Linked DNA regions of Neodiprion lecontei. The protein of the gene in region 2 purifies or fractionates together with the protein of the main gene of each other region. This does not show direct contact. Links are inferred from orthologs where the notes say so. Each region holds a gene or a part of one and is shown on either strand. Other genes may lie near its edges.

Region 1 (5,042 bases), on a different chromosome or scaffold from region 2:
GTTCTGTTTAATTTTGCTTTCGGGTCTATTTGGAATCCATAGCTCGAATCGAGCTTCAAAACCTTTCCCTCTATCCCCTGGAATGAGTAAATAAGATCCTGGACCAGCAGATCTTCGGACACTGACTCCTCGTTGAATATTCTTGCGGGATGTAGAGATGGGCCGCGAACTATCGTCTCTGTGTAACTCAATGGAAGCATCTGTCCCTGAGAGCACGAGACCTGTGAGGTCTGACCTAATTCAAAACAGATGATATGCAATAAGCAGGGATAAATTTTCAGGAAGCCTTTACGTGACTCAGAAACAATTAATGAAAGAATTGATACTATTTTATGATATGGAAGACGAAAATAAGCTAATAAGAAACTCGAATCTGTAAAAAAAACAATGTATAAGACTAAACAAAGACAATGCGATTGAATGATTGTATTATGTTTGTTTATTCTGATTAATCGATTAATTAGTCTTTCCAATTCATTGTTTTTCAGTGAATCGAATAATCGGCCCGGTTTATTAATCATATTTCCGATTAATTGGTGTTTCCAACTCCATTTTGTCAGTTAATCGAGTTAATAATCCTTTTAATTAACTGCTTCTTTAATTAATCAATTAACCGGCATTTTCAATTATTCACTTTTTCAATGAATCGATTATTCGGCACTTTATTCTTCGTACGCTTGATTAATCGTTTTTGCGAGTAATTAATGATTAGATCTTGACAAATATTTATTTTTTCGGCTAATGGTTTGTTTGGCATTATCATTTAATCGTTTTTCCAGTCATTCGACTCTTTCAATTAATTGCTTTCATAATTAATCAATGAAATGCACAGCCCTAAACAAAGCATTAATTACAGTAGAAACTCTATTATCCAAACCATGATCACCTTAACTAAACCATCTATTGTCCGAATCTCAAGTCAAATTGGCATGGAATATATATACATATATCGTAACATATATGTGCATTACATATTTATTGAATATTTTCTAGAGCTGATCATCGCGTCACTTAACATTACTGTTCAACTATCCAAATTTTTGATTATCGGAACCAGGCCTGGTCCAAATTGGTTCGAATAATCGATGTTTTACTGTATAGACGTTTTTCTTTTAGGTTTGGTATCTTTAAGAAAAAATTTTCCTTTTTTTTTGACAAGTTCAGAGTCATTTTTCCCATACTATTCTTAATTGAAAATTCGTAACGAAGTTAGAAAGCAACTGAATTTCTTTTTTTTACAATATCATCAATTAGAAGTGGCTTGTTAATGCGTCCGGCATCAAATGCATGTTGTCACAAATGCATTATTTGCTGTGTTAATCAGTTTCATTTATGAAATAGCACAAAACAAAAATTCAGAAACTGGTACAAATTCTGAGTTTCTTTACGCACGGCTGGTAGATGCGACAGGTGATGTCAGACCAAGCCTCATATCGGGGAACGAAAAATGCCTGTCCTTAGTCTGATCAGCGGTTTGTCCCATGTAAAGCAGAAAAGTCAGGATGCTGAGCCTGTTCTTTAGTGGCTGAAAAAATAAGGTTATAATATCAAGAATTTAGTTGATATGAAAGCAAAATAAACTACAAACAAATCAAACGCACCCCGTCCTTAAGGTCGTTGTGGAGTTTGTCGAACTGAACGGCATCGCGAACTTCAAGTTTTCCCTTGATCTGTACGGCAACATTCATTTCATCTTCTCGGAGTGTTTCGGCACCTGGAGACGAAGAGAGGAGTCCCAATGCGAAACGCACAAAGCGTCTTATAGCCTCTGCAAGTATTTAAACATGCAATTTTTAGTCTAAATTGATTGATGATGCTCTCCTCCTTTCACCTCTGATATATGGATCCTTAACAGGCATGTTTTAATTTAACAATAGGATTGTAAATGATCCGAAAATGTTGTGACCCTGCATAGAGGTAAGAATAATAATATCTCAATTTTTCCTTATATCAAAAAACGTTCAAGTCCCCGCCGAAGTGCTTGCTTTCTGCATTTGTTTTCTGCGATGCCATGGCAACAGCAGGAAAGAAAGATGCATCTGCATGCGAAAAATTTGGGATAGCTGAAAACTACGCGGCTGTAAATTGACAGTAATTTCTGATTATTATCATCCTTGAAAAATAAATTACGGTAATTAAAATATTGGTATCAACAAAAACCATCAAAGGAAAAATAAATATAATATAAGAAAGTAGGAATTAAGGTTTTTTTAACTTCTCGACACAATAAATAACAAGCTACACAAATTAAATATCCAATCGAGATAATAATGGTAGGTGAACTTTATTTTCAATTGTGTAGTGAAAAGATTTTATGCTGAAAATAGGAGCAGAGTATTTCGGCACATTGAGCATAGGTTTTTTAAACGTTTATATGGTTTTCGAATCGATAGTCATTTTCATTCCAACAAACTTATTGCTGATCTTGTTCGTCAGATTGTAAAAGCTATGCGAAATCAAATCTTTGGTAGATACTTTGTAGGAATTAAAAATTGAAAACCTTCTTTGCTTCGTTTGTTATTTCATTTATTTAAATAACATTTAGAGTTAAAAATAATTCTAGGGATGAAACCTAATCTATGACTGTTTCTGATTGTAAATATAATTTTAGTAGAGTTAAAATATAGCAATTAATGTCCAAAAATTATCACAAATGACTGTAAATGATGAAATGAGAAGTAAAAAAATTCCAATCGTCAATGTTTCAAGGTTTTATAAGGTCGAATAACGTGTACAACCAAATCTGGAGATTCTAACAAAGCTGAAATACATATTCAACGGGATTAAACACTTGCATAACATGTCATTGTGCTTAAACACAGACGTAATAAACTCGTAAAAACGATTGTGGCGAGCGGTTAGCCCGGCCTTAAACCAACCTAAGCTAATTTAACGTAACCTAACCTGGTTTCTGATCTCCCCAAAGAGAAACGACAAGTTTTTGGATGAGATCACTGATCGTCTCAACGTCAGGAACGCTCATTTTTATACTCTGTAGTGCAACTGATGCACTTCTACCAGGCTACGGCTGTTATTAAGTTTCTAATAATCATGCACATTTGTTTCCCAGAGAGTGACCATAGAGTGAGTGACACACGGGTGACAGGTAAGCAATTAACTATTTACAGGCGAGAAGCTAGCTTTTGGGCAATGTTGCCAACTTCGATTAGTTAACGCTGCAAATCGATGGCTAATAATCGATGTTTTCAGTATTTATCGTGGTAATTACAGAGAGAAACCTGTAATTATACCATACCGCTAGCCATTACGTAAGCATTACGTAAGCTAGACACGGAATACTACTGGGAGGCCTACCAAGGCCGTGTTCGTAAATTGACTGCCAGTACTAAAAATTCCCTAGGACAGAGACAGAGCCATCCATGAACTCGGCAGCACAAAAGAGATAAAAGATTGCTAACAGTACTGTGAGTCAATTTTCGAACACGGCCTAAATCTAGTCAAAGTCATGAACTTTCCCTTTAGAAATGTCGAATTATGGGCGAATCACTACATTTTTCAGTGAAAACACTGATTCATGTTCAAACCGTCAAAATTTTTCCACCAAAAACCTTCAAAAACCACCAGATCCAATCAAACACCACCAAGTTGGCAATGCTGGTGACGTTTTCACATCTTCCAGTCCCTGCATCGATAAAGCAGCACGTATCCGAAAAACTAAGCCGAAGGCAGTTGTAACGTTACTGTTTTGTCTCTATTTGGCGGGAAATATTGCGCGCGAGCAACAAGAAATAGCGCGGGAAACGGCCGAGAGTAAATACGATCATCTTTTATTACCGAACCGGTACGCAAACGACAAACAGATTTTTTCCCGCCACGTGATTGCCAAAGAAATGAGCATAAACCGGTTAATCGACGTATGAGCAAAATTTGGCGGCAACATCACCTTTTCCGATTGGCCATCACGGTCACGTGCCGCATTGTGTTGGCAAATTGGCCAACCAGAGAAATGAGAAGCGGAGCCTCGATGACTGAGAATCAGCAATCCGAAACCGTTTGTTAACTTGTCGTCAGAAGGTGATCAAAAGTAAACGATAATGGAACCTGAGCATAAATTGCCTGTAATCACCATGCCACTCCAAGTTTCGCAGAAAGAGAATGTTTCCCGAAAACTGGAAAGTCTGCAAATCAAGGAAAATGTAAGTCTGAGTATTTGTAGTGTTAAAAATCATATTTATTCACTGTTTCAAACTCACGCTTAGCGCGGAGCTTGTCTCATTCAGCAGCCTTTTGCAGCTGCGCGTGACGCGCGATAAGTGTTTTAACGTGTGCATTAATGCCGCAATTCACACAGTCACACATGCACATCGTTTTAATTTCCTTACGCGAGTTGTGCTCTAACCGCAAACTGCGTCACGACCTCGAAACGCTTAAATTCGCCAAAACTGGCTCTCAGTCTCACTTTTCGCTTCGCATATTCTGCTTAGTGAAACATCGTCATGCTTACATCCGCAGCTAATTCCACGGCGAAATCTGTAATCCCAGTTCCCACAGTAATCGACGAAATTTATGTCTGTGCAAATGCCAACGAGGACCTCAGGTTATCGGCCACTTTCCTTCTATTCTTTGCTCTCTCTACTACAATTTTTTACTGCGCTGTGAAGCGCAACTTCTTCAGTGCCTCCACTCACCACAAATCGTCTCTTTTCGCCTCCTCTGGTCATCACGATTACTGCAATTATCCTGTCGTACGTATCTACAAATGTTGATGCGAGGGATTGTTGACTTGAGAAAGCCATGAATACATGTTAATTGAAGAAACTAAGCAATTATTCAAATATTTCTTGAAATTACAAGCAATCTGTCAACATAATTAAAATCGTCTTAGAACGACTTGAAATGTTATGAAATCACATGATAGCGCTGAAGAATTCATCCAGCAACAAGTTTTGCAAATCGTTGTAGGTCTTGCGGTAAACTACAAATTATTTCAATTCATTAAAATCAATGTCCAGTCTTTTTATTGATTTCTATTTTACCATGTGCTGATTTTTAATTATTTGTTGTGATTTCCCGTGATCTTG
Region 2 (8,143 bases):
TGATCTGAAAAAAGTATACTAACATCACATTCAAACACAGAGTAAAGCAGCCGTTACGTTTTCCTGTACAATTTAGAAATTTTCATCTACGAACCTACCATTGGTACCACTGGATCAGTTTCATTTCCTACTGATTGGGGAGTCAAACAAACTGCTCCATTACTAGTGAATACTGTTTCCTTAGCCAGTTCATTCTGCAAATTAGAATTCAATCAACAAGGGACAAATAAATGATTTATAACTCATGATATTAAGGGCTAGGAACCAAAAGAGCATAAAATACAATTATTCAGCATTCGATGAGTTTACTGTCGTGAAGGGGTATGCAATAAAAATCTAGAATAGCAGATGTAATCTGCAAATCGGAAAAACAGTGGGTTGCGTCTTTTTGGTCTTTAGCCCTCGATATTTACATATAAATTTTAAAACTGCAAACATACAATAGTATGTGACATCTTGCGCCGTTTACGAACACGAGGTGGCTCAGTTGGTGGAAGTTTATTTTTTTCTGTACTCTTCGTAGCTTTACGTGAGTTATCCAGTACTTGAGGTGCAACTTTTTTCCTGGTATTATTCTCTTGTGGTGGCACTGAATTTTTCTTCACATTCTGTGATTGTATTTCACCTTTCTCATATTTATTTCGAACATTGCTAAGACCTTTGATTTGAAGTGTTTCAGCCGCAGCAAGTAAGTCATCTAATTCGGTTTCTTGTACACGGATTTCACCATGATACATAAATTTAATGATCATTTGAAGATCTTCACACTTGATACCATTCAAAATTACCACAGGATGTTTTGCAGTATGGTGTTTGAAGAGTTCCTGAAAAGATATCGAATTTTATAATAATTATTGAATATTTCCTGTTCCGGCAATAAATGAGCCCCAACTCTGTGCTTCACATAGAAATTACCTGAAAATATGGACTGCACGCAGACAATATTATTCTATGTGCTTTTACGAATCGCCCTTGACAAGATAGAGTTACATCAACCAATTGTTCTGACGATAAATGTTCCATGAATACCTGAAAGAAAATCATATTACCAATTATTTAAGTTCAAAGTATTTACAAACATGCTATCATTGTATATCATATTAAAGATTGTGTAAGTAATATTTTCTTGAAGCAATTATAGTGAAGCTTGAGTGATATTACTATAATTTGTATGTATTCAATTGTTTACCTGCAAAATATTGTTCGTATGGTTATTCCATCGTAGGTTGAATTGTTGATTACCCTCCATCTTTTCACCTGAAAAAACATTTATTTATGAATTTTTTTTACACATTGATATTTATGGCCTCAATATTTCGAAACTTTTCATTCTTGTCTCGTGTGATAGAACCGAAATATTTCGATATTTACACTAGAATACTATATAAAATCAAAAGAAAGAAATTGGTTTTACTTCATGTTACTGATTCTGAACATTTGTAATGAATAATAAAGATAAACAAGATGTAAGATTGAATTAAGAGAAATTGCTATAAGCTGGCGCCATTATTTATAGAACAATGACGACAATAATTAAAGATTTTATGCCACTATGCCAAAAAACTGGTACAGCGTACTTACGGAAAGTTATCACTCGAAAGAAAATTATATGCACCGGCAGAATCAATTCATTTAATGTTCAAAGTCCAAGTGTCAAAATTGTTTCCTAAATTATCTTGAATTGGTTCAGATTCGCAAAAGATCGCTGGTTACCTTTTGTAACAATCGCCGATAGCTGCGCCCTCTGATCTTGACAGCTGTTCATCACCAACAGCGCCCCTTGCGGCTCTTTGCCAACCATGTTTGCGGCTCTTCGAAACACAACAATAACATAACCTGACTCGGTATTTTCTTTACATTTTTATCCGAATGTTATTGATTTGCACCATCTTCTTGAGTAAACGATTACAACATTTCATTCGGAAGTGAACATTTCATTAGGAAGGCCACAAAAAATTGGAAGGCCATGATTCTGGTTGTTGACAAAACGCAAATCCGACAGTTTGGCATTTACTGACAGGTGCGAGCGAAAAGGAGTAGCAGACGAGCAGAAACCTATGGGCGCGACAACGAGTAGAGATAGAACTAACAAGTGAGGCGGTTGTAATTAATGCAGCATTAATGAAAGATTTCATCTTCAGTCAAACTTACAGTAAAACGAAATAAGTGCGAATTTTCTTGATTCGATCAATGCAAAGATCAATGTATTCAGCCGAATTTTTTGGGCATTGTAATTACGAAGTTTAAATGCACAATTTATTTTGAACAGCACTCATTATGAGCGAGTTCAAGCTACATCATTTGGTTGGAGAACTTTTAGAGATACTTGGGTATGTAATATAAATTTGAAATTCTCAAAAAATGAATTACATCTGCTTCTATGAAGTTTAATCAATGCAATAATCCTCAGGTCCTCGTCAGCCCCTGAGAAATATGTAGAAGAACTTCAGAAGCGATGCAGCCGATCATCAGATCTTGCAATAAGCAATGTCGCAACTCAGAGCTGCGTTCGCAAGCTTGCTAAAAACGCACCGGATTCAGATCTCTTTTTACAAAAATACGAAGAATTGAAATCTAAAAAGTAAGACAATCATTCTCCCAATTTTCCAGTAGAAAACTTCAATTACGCTATTGTATGAACAGATATGAGATCAAGATTACCTATATGTAAATTTGAACGGTCACTTTTATTTGATGCTCTAGCGTCGACCTATTGGGTCCCTTTATGCAGCTACTTGATTTAATATCAGCAGATAAAAACTTAAAGGATCACTTGGGAAAGAATGCATTGTCCACTAATTTAAGTAATACCAAAAGTTCAACGATAACTCGAGAGGATGTTCCACAGGTTTGTTGGATCATTTTTCGTGTTTTGAATATTTTGTATTCAGTTTGAAATTGTTGATAGTTGCATAAAAGTTTTAATGAAATAATCCTACATTACAGATTTGTAAAAATGTTATTAAAGCTGCCGTCGAGGGTGAAAGGAAATTGAACAAACAAATCAGCATGACCGACAAGCGGAATGACCCTCCTCTTGTCTCACAAAACTGGGTCGTAGATCGGCCTCGTTTTTCTTGGGATTTTCCTTCAGATTTATCTGTTACTTTCTGTCAGAGTAATTTGATCAAAGTTGACCATCTCCATATAGAATCTTGTAGTTTATTACTTTTGAACAATTATTTATTGCAGAAGTTGTACCAGCTGCATCACAGGAAACAATACTACTCTGGGATATATTGTGTTGTTTAAAAGGGATGGATGGTTCGTACATCACTTCTGAGCCCCTTGCAAATCCTTATGATGTTCGATCTTTTGTAATCTCACAAGACGTAGGTAAGGATCATTAAATAGTGCAATAACTCTTGAATTTTTCTATGTTCAACATCTCAGTAAACATTTTCATATTATCGTTTTTCAGGTACCTCATATAAGCAGTTAGCACAACAAATATTACCATTGGCTTCACATTACTCAATGACTGTTAGATTTATAGAGGAAAAAGTTCTGCCTGAAGACGGTCAAGTTAATCACGCTTTGCGAGGAGCATTGAATTGTCTGCTAAAAGATTATTTGGTATGCAAATAATAAACATTTCTATTAAGCAATTATACGAACATCGTTTTTAGGATTTATCAATAAGTTCATCATGTTCAAATAACTTCAGCTCTTCATTGTACAATTGGAAGCCGAACATATTCGTGGCAAACTCAACTTACAGAAGTTATGGTTTTACATCCAGCCGACCATGGCTACCATGGCAATTCTTGCACATATCACGTCGACCATATGCAAGGTAGTTTTTAAGCTATTAACTATGAGTATTATTGAGTCACCATCTTATTTGTGCATTTCAAAACACAACACTTTCCTTTTGCAGGCGAGTGCCAAAGGTGGCAAAGTCTTGAGCTTGCTACACGAACACATGAATGATATCAGTGGAGAAGCTAAGTCAAAGGAATTATGTTTGTTCCTTATTCGTGCAGCTAGCGTTCCCTACATGCAAACGCTAGAAAAATGGGTCTACAAGGGTGTTATAAGTGATCCGTATCAAGAAGTAGGTTTTTTCTACTCTGCAATATGCGTTAATATTGTAGCTTTTAGTTTCTGCTTCTCGTGTAATCCACATACCACTGAAAATACAAGAATATTATGTAATTGCAATGAATATAATTTCAAAATTTACTTCGAATAGTTTCTAGTTGAGGATAATGAACTCATACAGCGTGAAGAACTGCCAATGGATTATTCTGCCGATTACTGGGAAAAGAGATACACTGTGAGGCACGAAAGAATTCCAGTATTCCTCAGCGAACATGCCCAAACAATTTTGAGAACTGGAAAATATTTAAATGTTATCAGGCAATGTGGTGAGTTTGTTATCAATTTCCTTTATAACTTTCAAAGTTGATTTTAGAAATCCAAACTTTTAAATAAATCTAAATTCATTTTACAGGTAAGACAGTTCAATGGGGAAAGCAAGAACCACTTGAATATCAACACCGTGGACAAAAGTATATTGCTGCTATTGACAGGGCTTATTCTGAAGCTGCGCGGACGCTATTGGAAGTCCTTATTCACGAAAACGACCTGATGGGACGGCTTCGAAGCGTTAAGAATTACTTTCTGTTGGCTCAAGGGGATTTCGTGGTACGTTTACAACTCAAAACATGGTAGAAATTCGGTACCTACAAATAAAATTTTTAAGTAAAATCGATTATTAGAAACGTGTTATAGTTATTTTTATCGTTTTTTACGTAATTCATTATTTTTATTAAAAATTAGTTCTGACATCAATTTTCTAGGTTCAATTTATGAATCTGTGTGAAGGGGAATTGGCAAAAAATATGTACGACATTGTGATTCATCGGCTAGCTTCTCTCCTAGAATTGGCTTTGCGCATGTCGACTGCAGATTGTGATCCATACAAAGATGATTTGAAGCCAGAACTCTTACCCCACGATTTACAATTTCAAATGTTCCGAATCCTTTCCATACAAACACAAGGGGAGAAAGGTATAGATGAAAATAATTGTTAAGTATTCAAATACTAATCGATTCTGTTGTTTATAGATTTTTGTTCTCAAGTTGATACGGCATTAACTGGATTAGAAGCCTTTGTATTCAACTATGACGTCAAGTGGCCAGTTTCTCTAATTATAAACAGAAAAGCAATAGCCTGCTATCAGATGATATTTAGACATTTATTTTACTGCAAACATATTGAAAGGCTATTATGTAGGTGAGTATTTTTCTTACTGTACAAGGTACTATGTAAGGTAACAAAGAAACTAAAATGACGGAAAAATGCGACGATTCATTAATCTGCAGGAAACAGTTTAATTCAAGTGATTTTCCTCTAGCAATTAATTCTGTATTAAAATATTGATCATAAATAGTGTTATTTAATTTTTCAGAGTGTGGATTAGCAATAAAATAGCAAAAACGTTTACGTGTGAAGCTGCAATGGCATATCGTCAAGCATTTTCCCTGAGACAACGTATGCTTGACTGTATACAACACTTGGAATATTATATGATGGTTGAAGTTATAGAGCCGAACTGGCTCACATTTCTCAACAAAATGAGCAAGGTATATAATTTCTTGAAATCAAATGAATGACATAGTTTTAACTATTTTTAATCCTATGGCACAGGTCAGCAACGTGGATGATGTTTTGAGCGTGCATCAGGATCTACTGGATAACTGTCTCAAGGAGTGCATGTTAACGGATCCAGTTTTATTGGCATGCATCACGAGTCTCTGTGCTGTATGCGTCGAATTCTGCAATTTCATGCAGGTAAAAATTTTCATTATTCTTTTACAATTTTTAATTTAATAACAATATTGCGTGTGCGATTGATTTGAAATAATACTTATACAGTTATTGCACAAACCAATACTAAACCACTGTTAGTTAGAAATAATAAAAATCGTATACGGAAGTTAAGTTAAGCATGAATAAGTCCTAGCAGATTTATTCGTATGACTTTGGTCGAGATAAGTGCACAACGGTTTTCTTAAAAATTGTAACATGGCTCTACTGTTACAAAATTTAATAAAATTTTTTTAAACGATGATGCAACCGAAAAATGAACCTTTTGGTTTATCAAAACGGAAATTTTATGAGAAATTTCGTGAAAAAAAACTGAAAAAGCTGCATGAATAAACACATGAATATTTGTCATTGTGTTAATCTGACATCATCTTACTAATGTCAAGCAAATGAGCCGGTACTATGTTGACGCTGAACTGACTTCAATGATTGGATCCTGTCAAGATGACGTCGGTGACTGTGATTCTGAGGTACACGGTTAAAAATATAAGTTTGCTACAGCTCTGCATCATGTAGTTCTAGAAAGCGTGATACTTGCTGCCGATAGATGATTCATTACATCGACTGCATCTCTGCGTTATTTTCATAATTTTTGTATTAATTTAGGCGATTAGCAAGAAACAAAGGTAATCATTAGGTATTTGTTGAAGATATTGTCGTTCTTTTGGAAGAAGTACTGATGTTATGTATTGCATGTTACGACCATGAAAACGAATATCCATTTATGCTTTTTTTTCCCAAACAACGTTTCATGTAAAAAATATTTTCTCAATGTAAATCGCGAATCGATATCTACGGCATCAACAAGAGAAATGAAAAAAAACTGAATTGCCCATTAAAAAATACATACATGTTGAAGTGAAATACAACATGATGCCGAATTAAGAAGTATTTCCGTTATAAGATTTTTGTGCTTTTGATTTGATTTCATGGTAGCAACGTTATTTGCATTTTGTAAATTTAAGATGTAATATTGGAAACATTTACGGAACATGATCAGGAATGCTCCTTCTTTATCTTCATTGTGATTGCAAATTATGTTCCTGCCTGGAAGGTTTTGTCAGACATGATTCTTCAGTAGCACCGTATTATAATACTAGTTGTGATATTTTTTGTTTCTAGTCCTTTTACTTTTAGCGTTTTCAGCTTTCAACAAAATTGAAACAAGACTTTGCTGCAAGAGAACAAGATAAAAAGAAGTTCAGGAAATGAATAGTGATAGCTATAACTAGTACTAGCTTCAAACTTTCCATAATCCATTCGCTTTCATGTTTAAATTAACAGATGACAACATCAATCTAATTCTACTCTGTTTAACAATTGTCCAGCTTTCTCATTGAACATTAGTAGTCAGCTGATAAAACGCAAAAGCCAGTCTTGATATAGACTGTATTAAAATTATTTTTTGTAACGTTGACTAAGATTGTGTTTAACCAGAATGAACAAGACATTGGTTGCGGGACCATCGATGAAATATACAATGTTCAATTAACTTTTGTTTCAATGAAATATCTGTCAATTATATTGCGGTGAATGCCTACGTTCAAACGAAATAATTTATATTATAGAATGATGCTGAATCAACTCTCGGAGCAGAAGAGGGCAGTTTTGAAGAGCGAATAACGAAACTGGACACTAGATTTATGGAGGTTCTTGTTCGTCTTCTTGATAGAATCCGTGACTTGGGCCGTGAAATTGATAATGAAAAGTTACTGAACGTTTTGTGCCGGTAAGTTTATAAATAGATAGATATTTTTTTTTACTTTTCATAAAAGACATTCTGATCTGATTGTAAAATGACACTTTTTCCGGTATATAGATTGGATTTCAACATGTTTTATACGGAAATGCTGTCAAGGCAGGGTATGGAAAAAACTACACGGCAACAAGACATTTCTGGTTGATAAGTGACCACTTCCAGATTGTATAATATACGATCGCACTATACTGTACCTACCATTGACTAAAAAAATGAATATATTTATAGATCTTTGCTAAAAATGACACAGGATCTGAAAGATAAATGCCATACTTTATTGATATAGATCAAATTAATTCATTAGTTATGAATTGAAAATTGTTGTAGATTAACAACACTAGCACAAAGCTAAATATTCCATTTACATAGTAAGCAATTAGAAAATATACCTAAATAAATAATATTACCTTGTCTTATCAATAATGGAACACGTTGTTTTTCACTGAGAATATAATGTAACAAGCCATCATAAGAATTCGTTTTCACTTATTCTACATTTTTTCTTTTAAGCACATTATCTCCATACTCGCTTTCTTTTGTAAAATAAG

What was found.
Region 1: the proteins of gamma-tubulin complex component 2 (region 2) and gamma-tubulin complex component 3 fractionate together in Drosophila melanogaster (co-fractionation; 3 studies listed by BioGRID). This does not show direct contact. The link is inferred for Neodiprion lecontei from reciprocal best matches to the Drosophila melanogaster genes Grip84 and Grip91.

The regions. Positions count from the first base shown.
Region 1 is NC_060264.1:20,999,923-21,004,964, forward strand, and holds the start of gamma-tubulin complex component 3, read right to left. Parts: upstream 3,112-5,042; 5' UTR 2,984-3,111; coding exon 2,905-2,983; intron 1,769-2,904; coding exon 1,602-1,768; intron 1,527-1,601; exon of another isoform or gene 1,526-1,526; coding exon 1,393-1,525; intron 236-1,392; coding exon 1-235. Other genes in the region: ribonucleoside-diphosphate reductase subunit M2, read left to right, coding at 4,458-4,706.
Region 2 is NC_060265.1:6,773,637-6,781,779, forward strand, and holds gamma-tubulin complex component 2, read left to right. Parts: upstream 1-1,987; 5' UTR 1,988-2,092; exon of another isoform or gene 2,093-2,269; 5' UTR 2,270-2,277; coding exon 2,278-2,330; intron 2,331-2,410; coding exon 2,411-2,581; intron 2,582-2,703; coding exon 2,704-2,848; intron 2,849-2,946; coding exon 2,947-3,118; intron 3,119-3,192; coding exon 3,193-3,336; intron 3,337-3,421; coding exon 3,422-3,576; intron 3,577-3,667; coding exon 3,668-3,796; intron 3,797-3,880; coding exon 3,881-4,057; intron 4,058-4,195; coding exon 4,196-4,370; intron 4,371-4,456; coding exon 4,457-4,650; intron 4,651-4,805; coding exon 4,806-5,016; intron 5,017-5,073; coding exon 5,074-5,242; intron 5,243-5,417; coding exon 5,418-5,592; intron 5,593-5,656; coding exon 5,657-5,800; intron 5,801-6,222; coding exon 6,223-6,306; intron 6,307-7,404; coding exon 7,405-7,565; intron 7,566-7,655; coding exon 7,656-7,740; 3' UTR 7,741-8,067; downstream 8,068-8,143. Other genes in the region: uncharacterized protein LOC107222887, read right to left, coding at 1-18, 95-194, 441-824, 916-1,029, 1,190-1,257, 1,714-1,801.